Struthio camelus: one gene and its partner. The protein of the gene in region 2 purifies or fractionates together with the protein of the main gene of each other region. This does not show direct contact. Links are inferred from orthologs where the notes say so. Each region holds a gene or a part of one and is shown on either strand. Other genes may lie near its edges. The genes, in order: PDCD10 and SLMAP.

Region 1 (9,258 bases), on a different chromosome or scaffold from region 2:
CAAAAATTATCATGCACCTCTAACATTTCTTTTGGTCTGTGATCAAGAGCTGTTACGTGCATAGCACTGAGACTTATGGCAACACGGTCTTCTGAAAGTTTAACTGCAGTTCACTAGAATCTCAGAACAGTCTTAACTGAAATAAGTTTACACCAGCTCCATTAGCCATTTAACTTGTTTTCACAGAATTGTATTCCATCTTCCTGAGAATGTAAAAACTGTGATGTTAGAACAGCTCAGTAGTTCTGCGCTAATTTACCTCAGAAAAATCCCAGCAAATTGCTATCAAAAGACACACAAAGGTGCTTCTCAACTGGCATAAAACTTGCTAACTAGTCTGAGAAAGCAAGACAACAGTCAGATCTACTGTCTGGGAATAAGCACAGACTACCAAATATAAACTGCATATAAACCTGATTTTTATTGCAGTGGTCCCACAGATTCAAACATAGGCTGTTAGCCAATAGGTATAACAAAAGTCATGCTTTATGTTACATCAGATGAAATCAGTCAGAGAGAATGAACAAAACAGATGCAAGGGACCCTAAGACATTTTAAATAATTCTGCTCAACTGTGTCAAAAAAAAATCCTTAAGCTAAACTTCCTGTAAGCGAAAAAGAATATATAGCAATATAGCAAACACCACTTCCCGAATTTTACAACTACTGTTAATAGTAAACAAAGTAAAAGGTTGCTTTCTCTAATCTGTCACTGACAGATTTTTGATCAAGCTCTAAATCAAGTAGCAGAAAAACAGAGCTACTTAATGAGAATACCACCGCAGTCTACAGTAATCTTCCCAAAACTTGCATTTGCTCATTGACCAGTGCAAAAGCCAGTGAGATATCTATGAACATAAGAAAGGTGTTTGTTTAATACTAGCTTTTGAAATTGCGTTTAAAGAGAGCATAGCCTCTGAATTATAAGGCTAAAGTTTTTTTTTCCCTTTTTAAATAACAGAAACATTATCAACTGGCATAACTCAGGACTGACATCCTGCCACCAGTAGACCTACCTATACCAGTATAATGCTGTCTTTATCCCATTCTCCAGGAAAACCTTAAGCACCTAGGCATTAATGCCTAACCACAATCTTCCTTTTAAGAAAGCCCCAATCAATCAGATTGATTATTTCAATAGTGGGCTTCTAGGGTAGAACCAAAATTATGACTATCTTTGTTGGTAAAAGCTGTCCTTATTGCCCAGAATTCTGTTCCACCTGTTGCAGTGAGGATTCAAGAACATCAGGTTAAAGAAAAAGCCCTCCAAAAATCCCCATTCTACCAAAAAAAAAATCTTGATTTCTGCTCAAGAAGAAAGGGCAGGGGGAATAGCAGTTAGTAGGAATAGTACACTGTATTCACAGAGACAAAAAGTTTGGCCTGTATTTGTAAATCCAACATGCACAAAGTCAAGAATTTCTTCGAAAAGAAAGTCTCTTTAATTAACTAAGTGCAAGTACAAATTTACAAGTCAGGAGGGAATAGAGTATATTGTTTTAACTGTATACATACCCCACACAGTTTGGTTGCTTTATTATGCTTCCCTTATTAATGGCCATTCAAAATAGTTAAAAAACACTTTTTCCTTTTCAGACATTAACTTGCCTGCTAGCACTATACTTCAATTAGATTGTAATCATTTCCCATTGTATAACTTAAAAGCACACAGAACAAAGATTTTAAGCTTTGTACTTAAGATATAGAACTACTTTTCTTCTTTCAAAAATTTAAGTGACTTTATGATGCAGTAAGCATTTGCAAAAAGACTGCCAGAAAACACTGAAGTAGGTGATCTTTCAAGCAAACAAGGCTTTGTCTAAATAAGAATACTAAGAAGGTAAGGCTGGCTGGCTTGAGATATTTGGAAGTTAATTCCTTGTCATTCACTTTCTGAAGGCCTTGGCTTCAACTTTCTGAATGGCAAGCAAGAAAAACTATTTCTACATATTGCGGAGAAATACCTCACCTTCTCTGAAAACAAACAGGAAAAAAAAAATCCAAAACCCACCGCTGAATCTAGCTGACAAACATGGGTTTCTACTTTTAGTTACTGCAACCACTAGAGAAACCAAAGGCTTACACTGAAGAAAACATCACCTTTAGCTCTACTTTCATTCCCTGTGCAGCACGCTAGCCACCTGGAGAAAGGGAGGAAAAAAGGAAAAAAACGTGAAGATTTTTTCCTTGCAATGAGGCAAGTAAGGAGAAAAAGGTTAACGTGTGTATTGGGGGCAGGAAGAGGGATGAGGACTGAAAAGCCAAGTCTGAGCATTACAAATCGTCTCCACTGTGCTGTCTGAAAGTGGTAGCAACACATGAAAAAAATCTCAGTGTAGTATTTCTGCACTGTTTTTAAAGTTCATTTTGTTCACTTTTCTGCCACTGTGATCTTTCCTCCTCCCTCCTCCGAAATGCTTAGTGTTGCAAGTATGTTTTCCAGTATTGTCTGGGACCTACAAAAACCTGATATTACACCAAGAAATACTGAATTATATAAGAGAGATTGAATAGCACAAAACATTATGCCCAATAGGCTTGATTTTAAAAATTAGAAGCGATTTCAAAATTTAAGTTTCAACATTCACTTTCAGACCATTCACTGGAATTAACATACAGTTCAACTAGGATGACAACTTCTGTATTCCAAAAACCAGTAGAAAAAACATGAAAGTTAAAAAGGCACTCTGCTGCAATAGTTCCACATTCTAATTTGTATATCCAGTAGTTTCCCTGAAAAGATAACAGAAAGAGTATCATCAAAAGATAGCACTCAAGTTTTAAAAGGCTCTTTAAAACACATTCTACTGAAGAGATTTGCAGTTTCCAAACACTCGCTGAAATACACTATAGCCACTTATGCTTTGTCAGAGTGAACTCAAGTTTAACTGCTTATGCATTATATTACCGCGATTCTTATGAGTGATTCAGAAGTCACACAAGCAATTCACAATAAACCCAACTAGTCTACTGCTAGATCAACTTTAAAAAAAATCTTAATATAAACTTATTCTGAAATCACTCTTACAATTAATTCACATTCTTCTGCAATGCTGAACTTCAAAGTGAGAATGGTTTAGTTTTCCTAACATATCTACTTTTTGTGCTTGCCACAGGAGGAACAAGAATAGCCTCCTGGACTGCACCCCAATTTCATTAGTTACCTAAATTAAAAATATTATAACTGACACAGGTCACGACTCTTAGGATACATAATGGAAACAACGTATGTCAGCTTCTCTTTCAAGCTCTTCCCCACCTCCCCTTTGGGAACTTGAAGGTAAACATAATATTTCTGTCTCTACTCTTTTATCAAATACTCCAAGAAACTAGATACAACCAAAACCACTTTCAAACACACAAACATGTTCCAACAAGTAAATGAATAACAGAAGGCAACTACTTCCTCTGATACAGCAAAAACACAAAACCTGGCCCAAGGTTTCAGCCATCTACCCGCACCCCCAACACCTGTAAGCTGCGGGCACCAAGCCAAGTCACCAGTTAAATGAGCAGTTTAGAGGGATCCTTCAGCGTTCACTGTCCCTCCAGACTGTTGTTGCAGCAGCCCCGCACAGCGCTGCCGGCCAGCTGAGCCCGGGCTGCCGGGCACGGTCACGTTTGGCTTCGAGCAGGGCAGCCGCAGAGCTGCCCCTTTTACAGTGTTTTTTTTTTTTTGGGGGGGGGGGGGAGGAGGAAGAGAAACGCTTTTCCTCCCACCCCCCCCCCCGCCTAGCGAAACCCTGCCCGCACCGCCGGAGCGCTCCCGCTCCGCAGCGGGGCCAAGCCACCTGACAATGCTCCTCGCAAGCGTTAGGACGAGCTAAAAATACACATCCGGGCCTGCCTCTGCCAGGCCCGGGCGTCCTGCCGAAGACGGCTGCCGGACCGGGGGGGGGGGGGGGCTGGCGGCGGGCACCCCCCCTCCGGCTCCCGCCGCAGCACGGGAGGGCCCTGGAAGGCCGCGGGAGAGGGAAGTGCGGCGAGAAGTAGGAGCCTGCACCAGGCCTCAGACCAAGGGGAAACCGGTCACCTGCCTGCCCGGGCCAGACCCCCGCGGCCGGGCGGGGAGGCGAGGGGAAGGGACGAGAGGGGGGGCGCCTCCCTCACTCCGCGCCGCACGGCGAGGCCCGCCCGTCCGCCCGCCCCGCGCTCACCTCAGGGCGGCGCTGCCGGCGGCCCCCGCCGCTCGGCCGCCCCCCCCGCGCCCCTCAGCCAGGCCCCAATGCTCGAAGGCGTTTTACGCTCCTAGCGGAGCGCAGCCTGGAAAGGAGAACGAGGCCCTACGCAAACACACTAACGACCCCCCCCCCACACACACACAGACCCCAAACCTGGCCCTCCCGCAGCGCGCGCGAGACCCCGCGGGCACGCGCCAACAGCAACCCGGCACCTTACCGTCCCCCCCCCCGCCCCGCCGAGCCCCCAGCGCTCCTGAGTGGGCTTCGTCGCCGCGCCGGAAGTGCCTGCGAGAAGGAAGAGTCTGCTGCTGTTACCACACACCAGGCGTTGCCCGGAACTAGCCAGCAGCCGCGCAGGCTCCTGGGATTTGTAGTCCGCCGCCAGCCACCACGCGTCCCACAATGCAACACGGCGCTCGGCCCGGGGGGAGGGGAGGGGGGGGCGGAGACCTGGAGGAGGAGTAGGTTGGAGGGGGCGCCCAATCGGAGCGCGGGGCGGGAGGAGGGGGCGGAGCTTCTGCGGGGCGGGGCGGGGCGGGGTGGGGTAGGGAAGAATATCCAGGCGGTGTCCGAGGCGCGGCGGACACTGCCCGCGGCGGAGCGGCGGGTGCGCTGGCAGGTGAGCGGGCGGGGGCGTGTCGGTTGGATGGCTGTGGCGGCAGCAGCAGCAGTACCGGGGGCGGTGAGTGTGCTCGTCCCTTCCCTGCCAGCGCTTGGGGAGGGAGGTTTCCTCAGCGTGGTTTCGTCCCGTAGGTTGTGGGAAGCTCTCCGCCGCCGTCGCTCGGTGGCGGTAACGGCCGCGGGGAGCGGCGCTCCCCGCGCGAGCCCGTCCGTTAGCGCCTGAGGGGAGGCATCGCGCGCCGCCTTCCCTCCCGCCGCGGCAGGGACGGAGGCGGTGAGGGAGGAAGGTGTTTCCCCGCCGGCAGGAGAAGTTAGAGAAAGGGGTGCGGGGGGGGCGGGGGAATAGATATAAAACCTGCTGCTGTTAAGTCATCCGTTGTGCGCGTCTGCACCCGCCTGTGGCGCCCGGGAGCGCGTCCGCTCTCCTCGGCGGAGGCGAGAACCGCGCCTCTGAGGAGACGCTCAGCTCCCCTTCGCAGCGTCTTTATTGTGGTACGGGCGCTTTGTCTCCCAGTGATTCTGTGGTTAAGTGCTGCAGCAGTACTTAAAAACTCGTTCGTGCCGGAGGGGGTGATAGAGTACAGGTCTGTGCGGCTCTTCTGGTAGCTGCCCGAATAGAGCTGTACTTCTGAAGCCCTGTCCTGACGGGCTTCCCTCCTTTGAGGCACGGGTTTTTCCTTTCGTCGGAAATCACAGGGAAAAAGATTGGAAGATATATTTTAATGAATTACCTGGCCATCTCCTAGTCCCCAGGAAGGTCCAATTACGCATGAAGATTTTGGGTAAACTTTTATACGGATATTTACAGCAGCTACTCTTTCCCTTCTCAGTTAAAATGCTTGCGTGCCCTGACCGTTTGACCCATGACTCTGTTTGTTATGAACTTTGTGACTGTGAATAATCCTTTTTGTCTAAAAGCAGAAGTTCCAGCTTTATCTTATGGTATCCTCCCTTTTACTTATAACAACATTGTAAAGCATTTCAGTGCTCATAAAACATATACATAGTATATATACCTGCCATATACAGAGTATTTCATTTTTTGTCCATTAAGAAATTTAAATAAACTTGCACGTTATTTGCTAGAAACAGCTGTGTTACTGAAAAGCTTTAGACTTGAATTTTTAATTGTATTTAAAATGAATTTAATATTGTTGAAGTGTGTAATTCAGTTTTAGGTTTGTATCTGCATTTTGCATACGTCAGGACAAAAACTTTTTTTTTAAATTACTGGCTAGCGTGGCCTAATATTAACAAGGCCCAAATTCTGATGCAAGCAGGTGAATGAGTATGCAACTGATTAAACTTAAGAAGCATTATCTGTGACTCCTAGTAGCAGTGAAATGGCAAAGTGGGAAGACTTCTGACATCTGTCTTTCTGAACGTACATATCATGCACATATACCCACATATGTTAACAATTCAAAACACGCTTCACATAGGTAAGCAAGAACACTTAGAAGGACACCTGGATTATTGCACTTCCTTGTGTGTACAAATTTTTTCCCTTTTCCCCACCAGTTCTTGTTGTAATCAGATCTATGTATGATCAGTGTGTCAAATATTTAATATATCTGGCTGTTAAAGGATCAGTCCTGTAACTTGCATGATATGCTTGAAATGTTTCATTAATTGCCTCTTATCTTTGATACACCAAGTCTTTTATCTTACCAGTTTTGAAAGGACCAGTACTTTAGTTTGATGAAAAACTATGCCACCCTGCTTAGATGAGAAACTTTACCAAAATGTCATCTTATAGATTGAGGTACATGCTTGTCTATGGCATTTTATGCTTGTCTATGGCATTTTATGCTTGTCTATGGCATTTTATGCTTGTCTATGGCATTTTATGCTGTCTATGCTTGTCTATGGCATTTTATCTTTTCTGTGAAATCAGTGTTTTAAAATAAAGCCACAAAGCTTCTAAAATAGAATATTCTAAACTATCTCTCTCCCTCTATCAGCTATATTTCCTAAGTTCTGTATTTTTTTTAAGCAGGGAGGTCTTAGACCAGATTTATACTTCACTATTTTCATTTCCTTCACGATTTTCAGAACTGTTGTAGCTGTAAGCTTGCTTGAGTGTGATGAGGAGTTACCCTCTAGGATGCGAGGGAGAGAGAAGGAATGGTTGTTGTTACCCTTTTTCTTTAAGGGAGGTTTTACCCTTTTACCTAACCCCTTTAGGGTTAGATATTGTATTAAATAATCCCTTACCTTAATAATGCAAGTTTTAAGATACGTTTACCCCACAACAGATTGGTACTTCTATGGTCTAGGGTATAGCTTTTTTAGATATTTGAAAATCTGTGTAGTTTACCTAAGGCTCAGCTTTCTTCATTCTGTTCTTTCTAACCCATGTGGGGAAAATAACAGGAGAAAAAAAATTACGTAGCTAAATGTTCATGAAAAAAAAATTCAAGGTAGTTTGAGTATCACCTGTGTAACTGAACTTGAGAAAGACATGTAGCTAACAAATATTTGCATAACACAAGATGAAGTTAAGAATACCACATTTTTCCAAGTTATTTTCTTCATATCCTCCCAAAAGGGAATTTGAAGTTGGCAAAGCGTAAAAGATGAATTGCGTGTTTTGATGGAAAGCTGAAAGTAGGGCTCTCAAGACTTAGCGGGGAGAGCAAGTAAGTTTGAAACAATTGCTTATGCTTAGGAAGGAGTGGGTTCTTTTTCTGCCTCTTCTTGGTTTGGTTTCAATGGTGTTGGATGGGGGGAAGAGAGAGAATTGGAATTAAAAGAAACCTAAAATCAAAAGATACAGCAAGAAGAAGTCTTTAAATTTCTGCTGCATTGTAAAATGCATGGGTGTGCACTAGAGATCTCAAATCCCCCTGTACAGCAAGGGTAATGATGGAAAGATGCTGTTTAATCTTTTGAATCATTTTTCTCTGATAAAAGCCCAGAAAGATCTCCCTTGTTTGATGTTACCTTTGGTTATCAGATTTGGATAACAAATATATGGGTATTTTCAGTAATGAGTAGTTAGGTATAGCAAGCATATGTGTCTTACAGAAGTAAGGAAGGCAGAAGGCAACCCAAATCTTCCTTTTAAGAGAAAAAAAAGAAACCGTAAGGGTTATCTTACCTTTGCCATGTGATAAGTGAGTTCTGTCTGTGAATGGAAAGCTATTCAGGACTAGTTAGGTGAATGATTATCAAGAGTAAAATAGAATCTATATTCTTTATTTTCAATTGTTTTAATATCTGCAGGGGAAAGGGCCTACTTACATAACTGATGAGCACTATAATCTGTTTTTTGCTCAATCAGAGCAATCTCATATTGCAAGTATATGAATCTGTAAGCAAGGGACTGGATAAACTTCCTCTGTGGCTGGTTTTGAATTGTAATTTGGAGAGGTTCTCAACATGTTTTGACTCTAAGGGCCTCTAGTTTAAGACAGATCTAACACTTGTCTGTGGAATTACATGAAGCAGCTAGGAGAACACAAGGGGAAGGTCTGTGGCAGTGTTAAGGTTATGTTAAATGCAGACATGAGTTCCAAAAGTTATCTTGACCACACAGTCTCTTCATCCTATGTTTTCACATTCTGTAGTCAGTTCAAGATGGTTTAGTTTATTTGTTTTATTTTAAATCAGTATTCTTGAAGTCACCACCCAGCTACTTACCTACTTTTTTAATCTACACAGTCTTGTGTGCCTGGGCTATTAAATGCTTTAGCTACAACACTGCTGGCTCACATGAAAAGATTGATTCCAGAAATGACTGGGATTAACACACCTCTGAGCTGTGAAGTGCGCTAAGTTGTTAAGCATGCTTTGGGGTTTTTTATTTTGGTTTTGGTTTTTTTTTGGTCAGCTGACTTATTAAAAAAGTGAATGTTAAAGCATTGCAGCCTTTTTCTAAATTTATTCTATAGATACAAATGTCATGGGCTTACATGTAGCTTAATTCCACTTCTATTGTTGTCTTGCAGAACGTAATGGAGAACAGTTAGTGCTAGTAGCATTTTTCACATTAAGATCTAAAATCTAGCTAGTCTTGGCTCTTTAGATAGGTTGCTGGAAAATTACTTTCTTGTTTTTTCTCAATTTCAAGTTTGCTCTGTGGTTGCTCTTCATCTATGAAGATGTACTTTTGACATGGTTGAACACCTTTTAAAGTAATTTCTAAGAGTCCATGTTCTGTGTAGGCAATATATTATTCTGTCTTTATAAAATACCTAGTGAATATGAATTATTATCAAGTACCTCTGTCCTATGGTCAGTGTTTAGGCTGCCCTCATCTTCATGATGCTATATGGCCAAAATAATTAGAAATTAGTGTGTAAACATGGATTTAATAATTAATGCCAAGCTTTCTTTATTTTATATACAGTTGTATATCTCTACAGTAAATAGAGGTGGTTACATGTCAGCATAATTTATGGATGGTAGGGAAGTACATATCTTATCATTGTTCACAACTGGCTGTTTATAA
Region 2 (10,133 bases):
AACTCAGTTCATTTCCATATTGCATTAAATGGAAATGGTAGTATTAGCTACCACCCTAACATGGAAACTTGTGGCTATACAATTTTTTTCCGTCACTAAAAGTGACCAGTCATTTGTAGTCCTTTTGGGAAAAGATAATATTTTATTTCTCACATAATTATGCAGTGCCTTTGGTAAACTGTGATGATGGATTCTTTGTAACAGGTATTTATAAAAGCAATCTACCTAAGGCACTAAACAGCTCAGAGAAATTCCTTTTGGAAAGCCTGAATATCTGCTGGGAACCTCAGGCTTCTACCAAAAACTTCCAGAAGCATTTCAGCCTGGGAGAAGTCGCACACAAATTCTGTTCTTCAATTTACTTATTCTTAAAAAACAAGTTCAGATTTAAGACTATTTCAGTTAAGCACGTTTTAAAGTGTTTTTGCCAATATGCAATGAGAGAAGCTGAACAAATATATCATTTAGATTTTTCTTAAGTGTAGCACGCTTTCTTTTGCTTTGATTCACACTGTCTGGAAGACTTCATGCTCAGCACAACATCCACTTCCTACGTATCTAGTGAGTCACTTTCTCAGATATCCTTAAAAAGATTCATTAATTTGCAATTACTCCAAAAAAACAAAAACAAAACAAAGGAGCACCACACACAATCCTAAGCATAAGCCATTACTGCTATTGCTGTATGAAAAATCCACAAGCAAAAGGAGACATCGCACCATTTTTCTATAAAAATGGTTAAGTGCAGAAAAGGCTCAAAACAGGTATTCCCCACTACCACTTTCTACTTCAGCATACACATTTTCAAGTTTGCTCATTTTGTTAGAAGACATTTTACAAACAAATGCAGCTTTAAATATCTGCTTTTAACTGCTGTTTACTGCTGATCTTGAAGACTTATTTCCTCAATTATTTTTAGTAATAACGGTGTTATATAGACATTAGCTCCTTTGGGCAGGTAGCTTTTGCCATGCACAGTTAAAGTGTCTTTATACAAAGCAAACATTCACATCTTTCAACCACAAATAACATGTCATCTTCAACTCAGTCTGTTTATACAGTTTTCTTCAGCTAAGCTTACCTCTCCCTCACATAATTCGGACACTAGTTCCCTAGCCAATATTTACCAGTGCTCCCTCTCTCCACTTTCTACCCTTCTCCACAGATTATGCTGATACAATTGTTTATGGACTATGTAGTAAACAGGATCACTCACATGATTAACTAGGGGGAAGAAAAAAAACCCACCTCCAAACCCTCAAGAAAAAAAAAAAAAAAACTTACAGCATAACTGAAAAGCAGTTTAAGAGACAGCACAGCACCTGGACAGAGTGACTAGGAATGTAAGAAAACAGTATTTCCGAAGTCCATACATTGTGAAACTATAGCCTTAAATCATTCATAAACTCTTTTGAATTATCTGAAGGTTTCTCTCTGTTACTAAATTAACCTTTCAAGGTCTTTTATCTTCCATAAAAAGCAGAATTGATGAAGTCTTACATTCATGTTTCTGAGAAATGCTTACAAATACTGCGGCAAAAAGAATGTATGCAGGTTTAAATATAGATCATTGATAGGATAACAATATATTCCTAAATGAGATGTGCTTATTTGAAGTTCTGTAAACAGTGATAATATACTTGCCTGCACGCAGATGTTCTTGGCATAATTTTTAGTTTTTTGCTTGTACTTTGAAAATACCATAGAATGTTTTTTAAATACTTTTTGTGATTCGAGAATAAGATTAAGACTATATATACCAACATATCTCCTACCAGCCCTTCCCAATAGCATTTTATATCTACCACCTCCGATAATGTTTTCCCCTCTTCTCCAATTATCACTTTCTCTTCAGAATTTACCACAGGTACTCAATCAGACCCCCCAAAACCTGATTGTATTGCCAAGAAACAGATATACAGTCCAAACTCTTCCTTAAACCTTTTACAGTACTACATCTAACACGTAAAATTTAGAGTAACGCGCTCCTGTGCATCAACCCAAACCCAGTCTTTACTTGATAGCTATAGCCACTGACCTAGATATCCATCTAGGCAATTTTCAAAGACCTCCATCAACTTCTCATCAGACAGAATCTCAAGAGCTATCATATGTTACTGTCTATTTACTACTACCACCTCGCTAATTATGATCACCTAGATAAAATAAACAGGTATATCACTTGTTTGGCCTGTATTAGAAAAAACAAAGCTAACTAAAACTTAAGAACAAAACAGCAGCAACAAAAGAGCTGACTGCTTTTTAAGCTCCTTTGTGAGTTAGCAGACTTGCTCAACACCAAAAAAGCTTTGTCAAATTAAACCATCTTGAATATGGCTAGCCTATTTATAGCCGTAAGTGGGCACTGGAGGGTCTTAATCTTTAAAGATCATGAGAAACGCTGGTAAAGAGCTATACGCACAACATGTTTTAAATTAAAAACAGTATAATAAATCAGAACATGTTAGTTTGTCTGGTCAAATAAAAGATTACAAAGTAACCTTAAAGTGAAAATACCTATATTTAATACACTTAAGTTTTTTCTAAAGTGTCTAACAGAAGAATGTACATTATATACATTAAGAGGCCAAAACAACATTTTTAATGAAACACTTATACGAATAGTAGTTTGCACAATTAAATGCAGGTAACTTGAAAGCCATGCCACAACCCAGCCTTAAGAAATTAAATGCTTGTCTTGTCCCATCATGCCCAGGGATTGCATAACACAGGACAGTTAACACGGAAAGGTTTAAGAACTTTGACTGTATTCTACTGCTCCTTATGCTGTGTCACTCTACTTAAAAAAAAAAAAAAAATGCATTAGGTACAGACCATATTACTCTTAAAAATGAAGAGCTACACTGATCACATTTCATAGAAGGGCATATAGGAGAGGAAAATAAAATTTGGTTTACAGTAACTAAAGTTCTAGGACATAACATCAATATATTTAAAAGACAGTGCTGAACAACTGTAATCTGCACATTGTTCATTTCTAGTTGGAAATTTAAAATTAACTTGACAGCGGTTAAGTAAAATGACTTTACTTGTCCCAGTTCAATCCCTAGCGGACAAAATATGAACTACAGAGCCCCTAAATTTCACTTAACGTGATAGCTACTGTCTTTCTGAGAAAGGGTAATAGGTTAAGACAGTAGAGAGTGTATTTTAATACATTTTCGCTGTCAATGATATAGCAACTTGCACGTCATTTGTCGGACTCCTGCTGCCAGAGAGAAACTGTCAGACCAAAATAACAGAATACTTGTTCTAAAATTGAAAACAGGCCAAGTAGGAAGAGTGCCACGCAACATCAGGTGTTTTTTTTTTTAATTGGCTTTTTGACAGCTCCTCACAATGAGATTTATTTACATACTCAGATAAAAAATAGGGATTTCTCAGCATTTGAAAAATACTCTTTTATGATTTTATCTAAGCCTAAGCTTTCAGATTTGGAATTATTACTCACCTTGAAAACCACATCCTTCCAGCAATGAACAAGAACGCAAATTTTTCAACCCTCACCACCTTCTTTGACCATTATTTTATGTTTTTAAAATAATATTTAAAGCTTAATACAAAATTATCAACTTACCTGCTGAGAATCACTCCAGCTCTTATACAAATCTTATTGCTTCCACCTGCAACCATATCTATTACAGGGAAACTAAAGTGATCTGTAATATTGCTAAAAACGTACTTTTAATTGAAGAAAACAAACATCTCACCTTGCCTGTCTTGTGGTCAAACCAGACAAGAGCATGGTTCCTGGACAGCACCTTACAGTCAAAAGTTGCGTTATTCTGAGCTGGCCGGCAGCGAGCCACAGAGCGGCCAATCTTGACAGGCTCGTCCAGGTAGACATGACGCTCCTGAAACGGATGTGAGTTCGGGCGGCAAGTGAAGATGGCCAAGGCTGAAGGCATCGAGGACAGATTGGGGTTGCCACACCAACCAGAGATGAAGAGAACCTCTTCTGATGCAGACTGTCCTCCACAATTTTTAACCCAAACCTCCACAGCAACTTTACATTAAAGCGGAACAAACATTATTGTACAGGAGAGGCCTAACAACTCATTCGTTCAGTGTGTAAACTAATTCTGGCAATAATCCAGTGAAAAAGCCCCATTATGTCTTTTAATAATAGCAGTGGCCCAGAAAAAGTCTGAAATGCACAACTTTCAATCCATCCTCCTCTGGAAGAACAGGAACAAGCATCTGATACCTTCAAAGAGAAGCAAAGGCTCCTTGAAAGAAGGCTAGGATGTCTTAAATCCAACTAGATGAGTCATACAAATACTTTTGTTTGGGATCTCAACTGCCTTCTTTTTTCCCCCTTCCGTAAACAACACTGACCAAAATCCTGACCTATGCAGCATGGAAGCAAGGAAAGGTTTAGGGAAGAGGGAAAAGGGAGAAGGATTAGCGTCCTGTCTCAAAGCGCACAGATGAGGAGTTGGAAGGTGAATACGAAGCCCTCGCTCCGCAACAAGGATCTAGGTGTTTCACGTAGCAATCCACACTTCATCATCTTCATATTTTAAAACAAAGCAAAAGAGGTGGTCCTCGATTAAGGATGGGGCCACGAGAGCAGGAGAGCCACGCCGTTTTCCTCCCCTGCGCCAGATAAAGCTGAACCGGTCTACAGTTTCAGGCAGCCACTCTGATAAGGAACTTGATAAGGCATGGAGAGGGCTTCAAACTCCCCTCTCGGGGACAGACGCGAGCGTGGGAAGGGTCCTTCGGGGACCGCCTGCGAGGGAGACTGACAGGTTGCTTCCCGGCGCTGCCTGCGACGACTCCGGCTGGCAGAAGCGGGGGAAGCGTCTCTCGGCGGCGGCTCTCCTCGCGGCGGGCGGCGGCGCGGGGGCCGGCGGAGGAGGGCGGCGAGCCGGGGGGGGGGGGGGGGGCTGCTCCAGGAAGTCTCGGCCAGAAGCCCCCCGGGCGCGGGGAGCGGCGGGCCGGGGGAGGCGGCGTCCGCTCCGCTCAGCCCAGCCCAGCCCAGCCCAGCCCCGCCGCAGGTGGCTGCGCACGGGGGGCCCCGCGCGCGGCGCCCGCCGAGCGGCGCTCCGCTGGCCCGGCGGCGGCCGGCCCTGCCGCGGCGGGAGAGGCCTGGAGGCCGGGCCCGGACGCCGCCCGCTCGGTAGCTCGCCCTCTCAGGCAGCCGCCGGCCACGAAAACTTTCCTCCGACCTGTAAAGCCGAAAACAAACGGGGTCAGGCTCGGCCCTCGCGCGGCGCGGCCGCCCGCACCCCCCCTCCCCCCAGCCTACGGTGCCGGCCCTGAGGGAGGCAGGGGGCAGGCCAGGGCTCGGCTCCCTCCCTTACCTTCAGCGCAGCGGCCGCCATAGTGACTGGAAACCTACCCGGTGTAGCAGCCGCGGCGCGGCGCGGCGCGGGCGGGCGGAGAGAGGGGCGGGGGTCGGGGGGGGGAGGGCAGGCGGTGGCGGAGGGAGGAGCCGTCCTCGGCGGGGCCTGACCAAAGGGAAGGCGCGGCGGCCGCCCCCAAGCGCTGCGCGGGCGGGCGGGCTGCGCAGGCGCAGGCGAGGGCGCGGAGGGCTGCGCAGGCGCACTGCGCGCCGTGAAGCCGCCGCGGTGGCGTCGGCCCCGCCTACGTTGCTGCCGCCGCCGCCCGCTTCCGGGTGCGCGGGGAAGGGTGGGGGAGGGGTGGTGCGGGGGGGGGCGGTTGGGGCGGGGGGAGGGGGGAGGGGAGCGGGAGGCTGCAGGTGTGAGGGGGAAGCGGGCGGGCGGGTTTCCTGTGAGGGGGGAGAGGGGCTGCTGCTGCTGCGAGGGGCGGCAGCGGGGACGCGCTAACAGGTGGGAGCAGGGGCAGGTGGCTGAGGTGAGTGAGGCTGCGGGGCCGGGCGCCTCGCCGGACGGGGCGGGTGAGCGGGCGCCGTCAGGCAGCGGGGCTGCGCCTTGGCAGCGGATCCCTCCGTAAGGCAAGGACCTCGCTGAAACCTTCCTGCTGCTTCAGTGGTGTGGGTGCCCTTGAGCAGGAGATTTTGGAATTCGCAGTGGCTTTTGACGTCCTTTGGGGAGGGAGAAGTACAGCCTGTGTTTTGCTGTCTCAGTCCAGTTACAGTGTGGCCGTTGGGGGGGGGGGAGAACCTCGAAGCGGTAACTGCAGGCACGGAGAGGTCGGGGGAGGACAGAGAGATGGAGGTCACCGGTGCAGTGTTTTCCCTCCGTAGGTCTCGGAGCATCACACAAGATCCCATTTTTCCCCATTTTGCAGAGACCGAGGCAGGGTTGCTGTTTTTTCAAGGTCATACAGTAGGTTAGTGCGGAACAGGTCTCTCAAGTCCGAATTCATTTATGAGTCAGTCAGTCCCTATAAAGCAAACAAGCAGAGATTGTTTGATATAAGACTCATGCTGGAGTTGTGCCAGCACCTATAATTACCCCATGACAAGGTGTTGGGATTAGAGAGATGAGGGGGTTGCGTGATGCCAGAAAGGCCAGACAGCCGTGGAGGAGAGAAGAGGAGCTGGGCCAGGTAGTTTAACTGGCAATAGATGAGGGAAATGGGCAACAAGCAGGGTGAGGCAGTGCAGCGTATGAGAGGAAGAATGATTACATTAGTCACAGCCCAGTAACGTCTCAAGGTCTGCTGTTTTCTCCCTTTTTCTGCCTGTACTGTGATGCGGTATCTTTGATTCATTACAGCCTAGTTTTGTACTCTTCCGATGATCCAATGAAAGAAAGACAACAAAAGCAGGCTAACATCTGTATCTGAGGCAAAGAAGTGAAATCCAATATGAGATTGTTCAATTTTTGAAGACAAAAAGAGAAAGACTAGTACATGGAAGCTGTGTGGCAACGTGTCAGTAGTTTTCAGGTCTCCAGACAGGAGTAAAATATGTATCTGACACGCCGCCTTCACAGCTTTCATCAGCTTGTTTGTACTATTTTAATATTGTGATTAATATTCCTAATTTACTCATATTTTAAAGAATTGGGAATCTGTATGTGCATTGATTTTAGCATACAGGGTGCCATAATGAATCAGAAGGGAGGAGGAAAGAAGTATAAAAAGAGGTTAGGGAAATTTAAGTCCAACAGGAGTTAGATTTGAGGGAAATAGTTGGAAAAGTAGAAATAATTCAGAACATTTTGAAATTGAAAAGGAGTAGAAAGAAAAAGGGAGGAAAGGGTCCTGCAGATGTTGGAATGAAAAGAACGTTTATGAGATAGCATTTCTTACATGTTTGTAGGGATGTTTAATGGAGAAAGCAGTTTAAAAGTCAACTCAAACATGAAGACCCATTAGCATTTGCAGAGTCTAGGAGAACTGAGAGAAGTAAAAGTCACAGAAAGAAAAGAAAAACAACCAAGTAGTGGGTATCTTTTACTGAGGTTCACTGTAGGTATTTATAATTTTTAAATATTTTTATTAACCAGACTTAAATTAGGTACTATATTTCCTCTACAATATCTTTTTCAAATAAGCCATCCTGTCGGCAGTGGAACTAACCAACTAATACGCTTAGTGTCTGTGTCCTTAGTAAACTATTAACCACTGGTATATTATGGTATTCTGAACTCTCCTCCATCCTTTACAACAGTCCCATGGGGGATGCAATGGCACATGCCAGCTGTCTTTCTAATGCTTGTTGGCACACTGACAAGTGGCTCATGTAACAAGAGAGTTCTACCTACTTTTCAGTAGGGGCACTAATTTGAGCCTTCCTTTTCTGTACAAGTGCCAGCTTTCACAGAAGTTGGGTGGATTCAGTTATATTTCAGAATTTTTACTATTTCAAATTGGCAAACGAGTTCAAAAGTTATTAGAGGTAGACTCCAACAAAGTTAAAAATATAGCAGGTGATTGCATTCTGAATTGAGGATACAAACTCTTACGGGTTTTTTTTGAGGTATCTGATACTTATCAGAAAGTCAGTGTCTTTGAATGGAGGAAAGGAACAGGTGGATGCGAGGAGTTCGGTTTAAAATGATCAGCCACTGTAGGTTGATCAGCAGGAGGAAGGGCTTGTAAGCACATGCTTCAGTTCTGCAAACCACTGTTTGCCACACAACCAAAAGAGGCAGTCAGCTTTGACAGCCATATTAGGTAAGGGCAGCAAGATGCCACTTAGGTGGCCATCCTTTTTCAGGGCAGGAAGTCCATAATAGTGTTATGATAGCCATCATAGCTGAGGGCAGAAGGGGCCCACTCTGTGTCCATCTTGGATAAGGGAAATGGAAGGGAGGGCACTACCACGTTTGTCTCTTAAAGAAGTGGTGCCTATTTAAGGATGATGAAATACAGAAGTGGTAGTGTTCATGTGCATGCCTGCCAAACAGCTGGACTTTGGTTTGAGTGTGTCAAGGTGCAGGAGAGATTCGTCAGTCCTAATAACTTACTGAAAATAGAAAGATCTTTTACTTCAGGAATCCTATTGTGAATTCCGAATTCACTTAACTGCCTAGGGAAAAGCAGAGCATCATTATGGGTCACTCAACGACAAATCTCTGAATACTGTGCAGTGATGATCTAAAAGGTTACCGAAATATCAATATATATGAGCTCAAGATTGTCAGTGGGGAGGGGTTGTGAACCAATTGCTTAGTGGGAGATTCTGACTCAAGAGAGTTTGCTAGATTTGGAATGGAATGATGCATGCTGTATAGAAAAAGTTTAGTTTGGAGTATAAAAAGTAAGATCCAAACTGAAATGAAAACAGAATAAACAGCTAAATTGTAAAGAGAAAGTTGGAGATGCACAGTCTTATACTGAGTTTGCATCCTTGAAACTCATCAGCAATTTATTACTTTAACTTCTCACTGATTTCCAGAAATTCAGCAAATTGTGTGTGCAACTACACTGTTTGAAGCAATACTAAATTTTGAAAAGTGCCTATAAAGGAATCTGCTTCTACATAGGTGAGTCTGGAAATACACAGCAAAGTTGGAAACTGAACTGGTATCTACATCCTATTGTATTATCTTTTGCAAGATGAACTTGCCTCAGAAATTGCTGCTGAGACACCCACAACCAAGCTGAACTGTCAAAATGTAAGGATTTTTTTCAGAGCAATAGGCTTATTTTCCTTTGAACTACGAATGTGTCAATTTGCGTGTTCACACTACAAAAACATTTTGGTTCACAGCAATCGCTTCCTGTCCACTAGAGGGCTAGGGGGAGGACTAGCTGCATGCCATCTCAGACGAACAATATTTTTACAGTGTCTGCTGTTGCTTTTGAGTTGCAACTACTGAAAAAGTAATGACTTTGAAGGACTACTTTTGCTACTTAAGAAAAAAGTTAAACAAAGAGTGACAAGATGTGGTCAGTCATTCTCTCTGCAATTTGTTGAAATATTCTGGTTGCAATTCTTGATAAAATTCACAATACTCTGTGCATGCGTAATAGTTCATATCTTTGGACAGTCACAGGAATAAATGGTGTAGATGCGGAGTATCTCAGGGCAGCAACAATCCAATCTGAATTTTCAGATACCTGTTTGTTCTAGGAGCTGCTGAATACATACACATTCTACAAACACGATCTCCAGCAGTTTATTTCTCTCTGCGTTGCTGTATCATGAGAAATAAACGGAGCAAGAATGCATCCTCAGAATGATGATCATTACTGGAAAATAACAACAGGTATTTGCTAATAGGCTATTCACTAGTTTCATGATCAGTGTTGAAAAAGAGACAAATTATCCTAGATAAACAGACTGTAGAAAATAAGCCTGTGCAGCATCCAAGAGCTGATTTATAATGCATGTTTAACTACAGACTTTGCTACACAGCTTTTGAACTACTGCATCTAAACTACTTTTGCAAAAGATTCCATACGGATATAAACATTGGTCCGTGAGTGGAAAGGGTCTGGCTGTTTCCAGTGGCAGTAAAATCCTTCCTATAAGCTCACCGAGCTCCTCCTTAAAACTTATTAAGACTTTAGTCTCTGCTACTCTTGTTGGAAAACTTTTTTTCAAAATGTTACTTCTCTGGAGATTAGAAAATCTATTTAGATTATTGGTCTTGATTCATTCAAAGGTTGGATTATACCTTTTTATTGTTTGATATCATTATTCTTTAATTTCAGACTTATTTTCCCTTCTTGATGTTTAACTTTCTCCATATAAAGAACCATTGCAATATCTTTCAGTACACGAT

The links.
Region 1: the proteins of SLMAP (region 2) and PDCD10 purify together in Homo sapiens (affinity purification with mass spectrometry; 3 studies listed by BioGRID and IntAct, counting the BioPlex papers as one, with this or other methods). This does not show direct contact. The link is inferred for Struthio camelus from reciprocal best matches to the Homo sapiens genes SLMAP and PDCD10.

What each region holds. Positions count from the first base shown.
Region 1 is NC_090950.1:28,962,364-28,971,621, reverse strand, and holds the start of PDCD10 (programmed cell death protein 10), read right to left. Parts: upstream 4,611-9,258; 5' UTR 4,504-4,610; exon of another isoform or gene 4,335-4,503; intron 4,215-4,334; exon of another isoform or gene 4,034-4,214; intron 3,596-4,033; exon of another isoform or gene 3,502-3,595; intron 2,734-3,501; exon of another isoform or gene 2,618-2,733; intron 2,142-2,617; exon of another isoform or gene 2,101-2,141; intron 788-2,100; exon of another isoform or gene 1-787. Other genes in the region: SERPINI1 (neuroserpin), read left to right, coding at 4,828-4,863. UniProt on the Homo sapiens protein: Promotes cell proliferation. Modulates apoptotic pathways. Increases mitogen-activated protein kinase activity and STK26 activity. Important for cell migration, and for normal structure and assembly of the Golgi complex.
Region 2 is NC_090955.1:15,300,067-15,310,199, forward strand, and holds the start of SLMAP (sarcolemmal membrane-associated protein), read right to left. Parts: upstream 4,063-10,133; 5' UTR 3,930-4,062; coding exon 3,732-3,929; intron 1-3,731. UniProt on the Homo sapiens protein: Associates with the striatin-interacting phosphatase and kinase (STRIPAK) core complex, forming the extended (SIKE1:SLMAP)STRIPAK complex.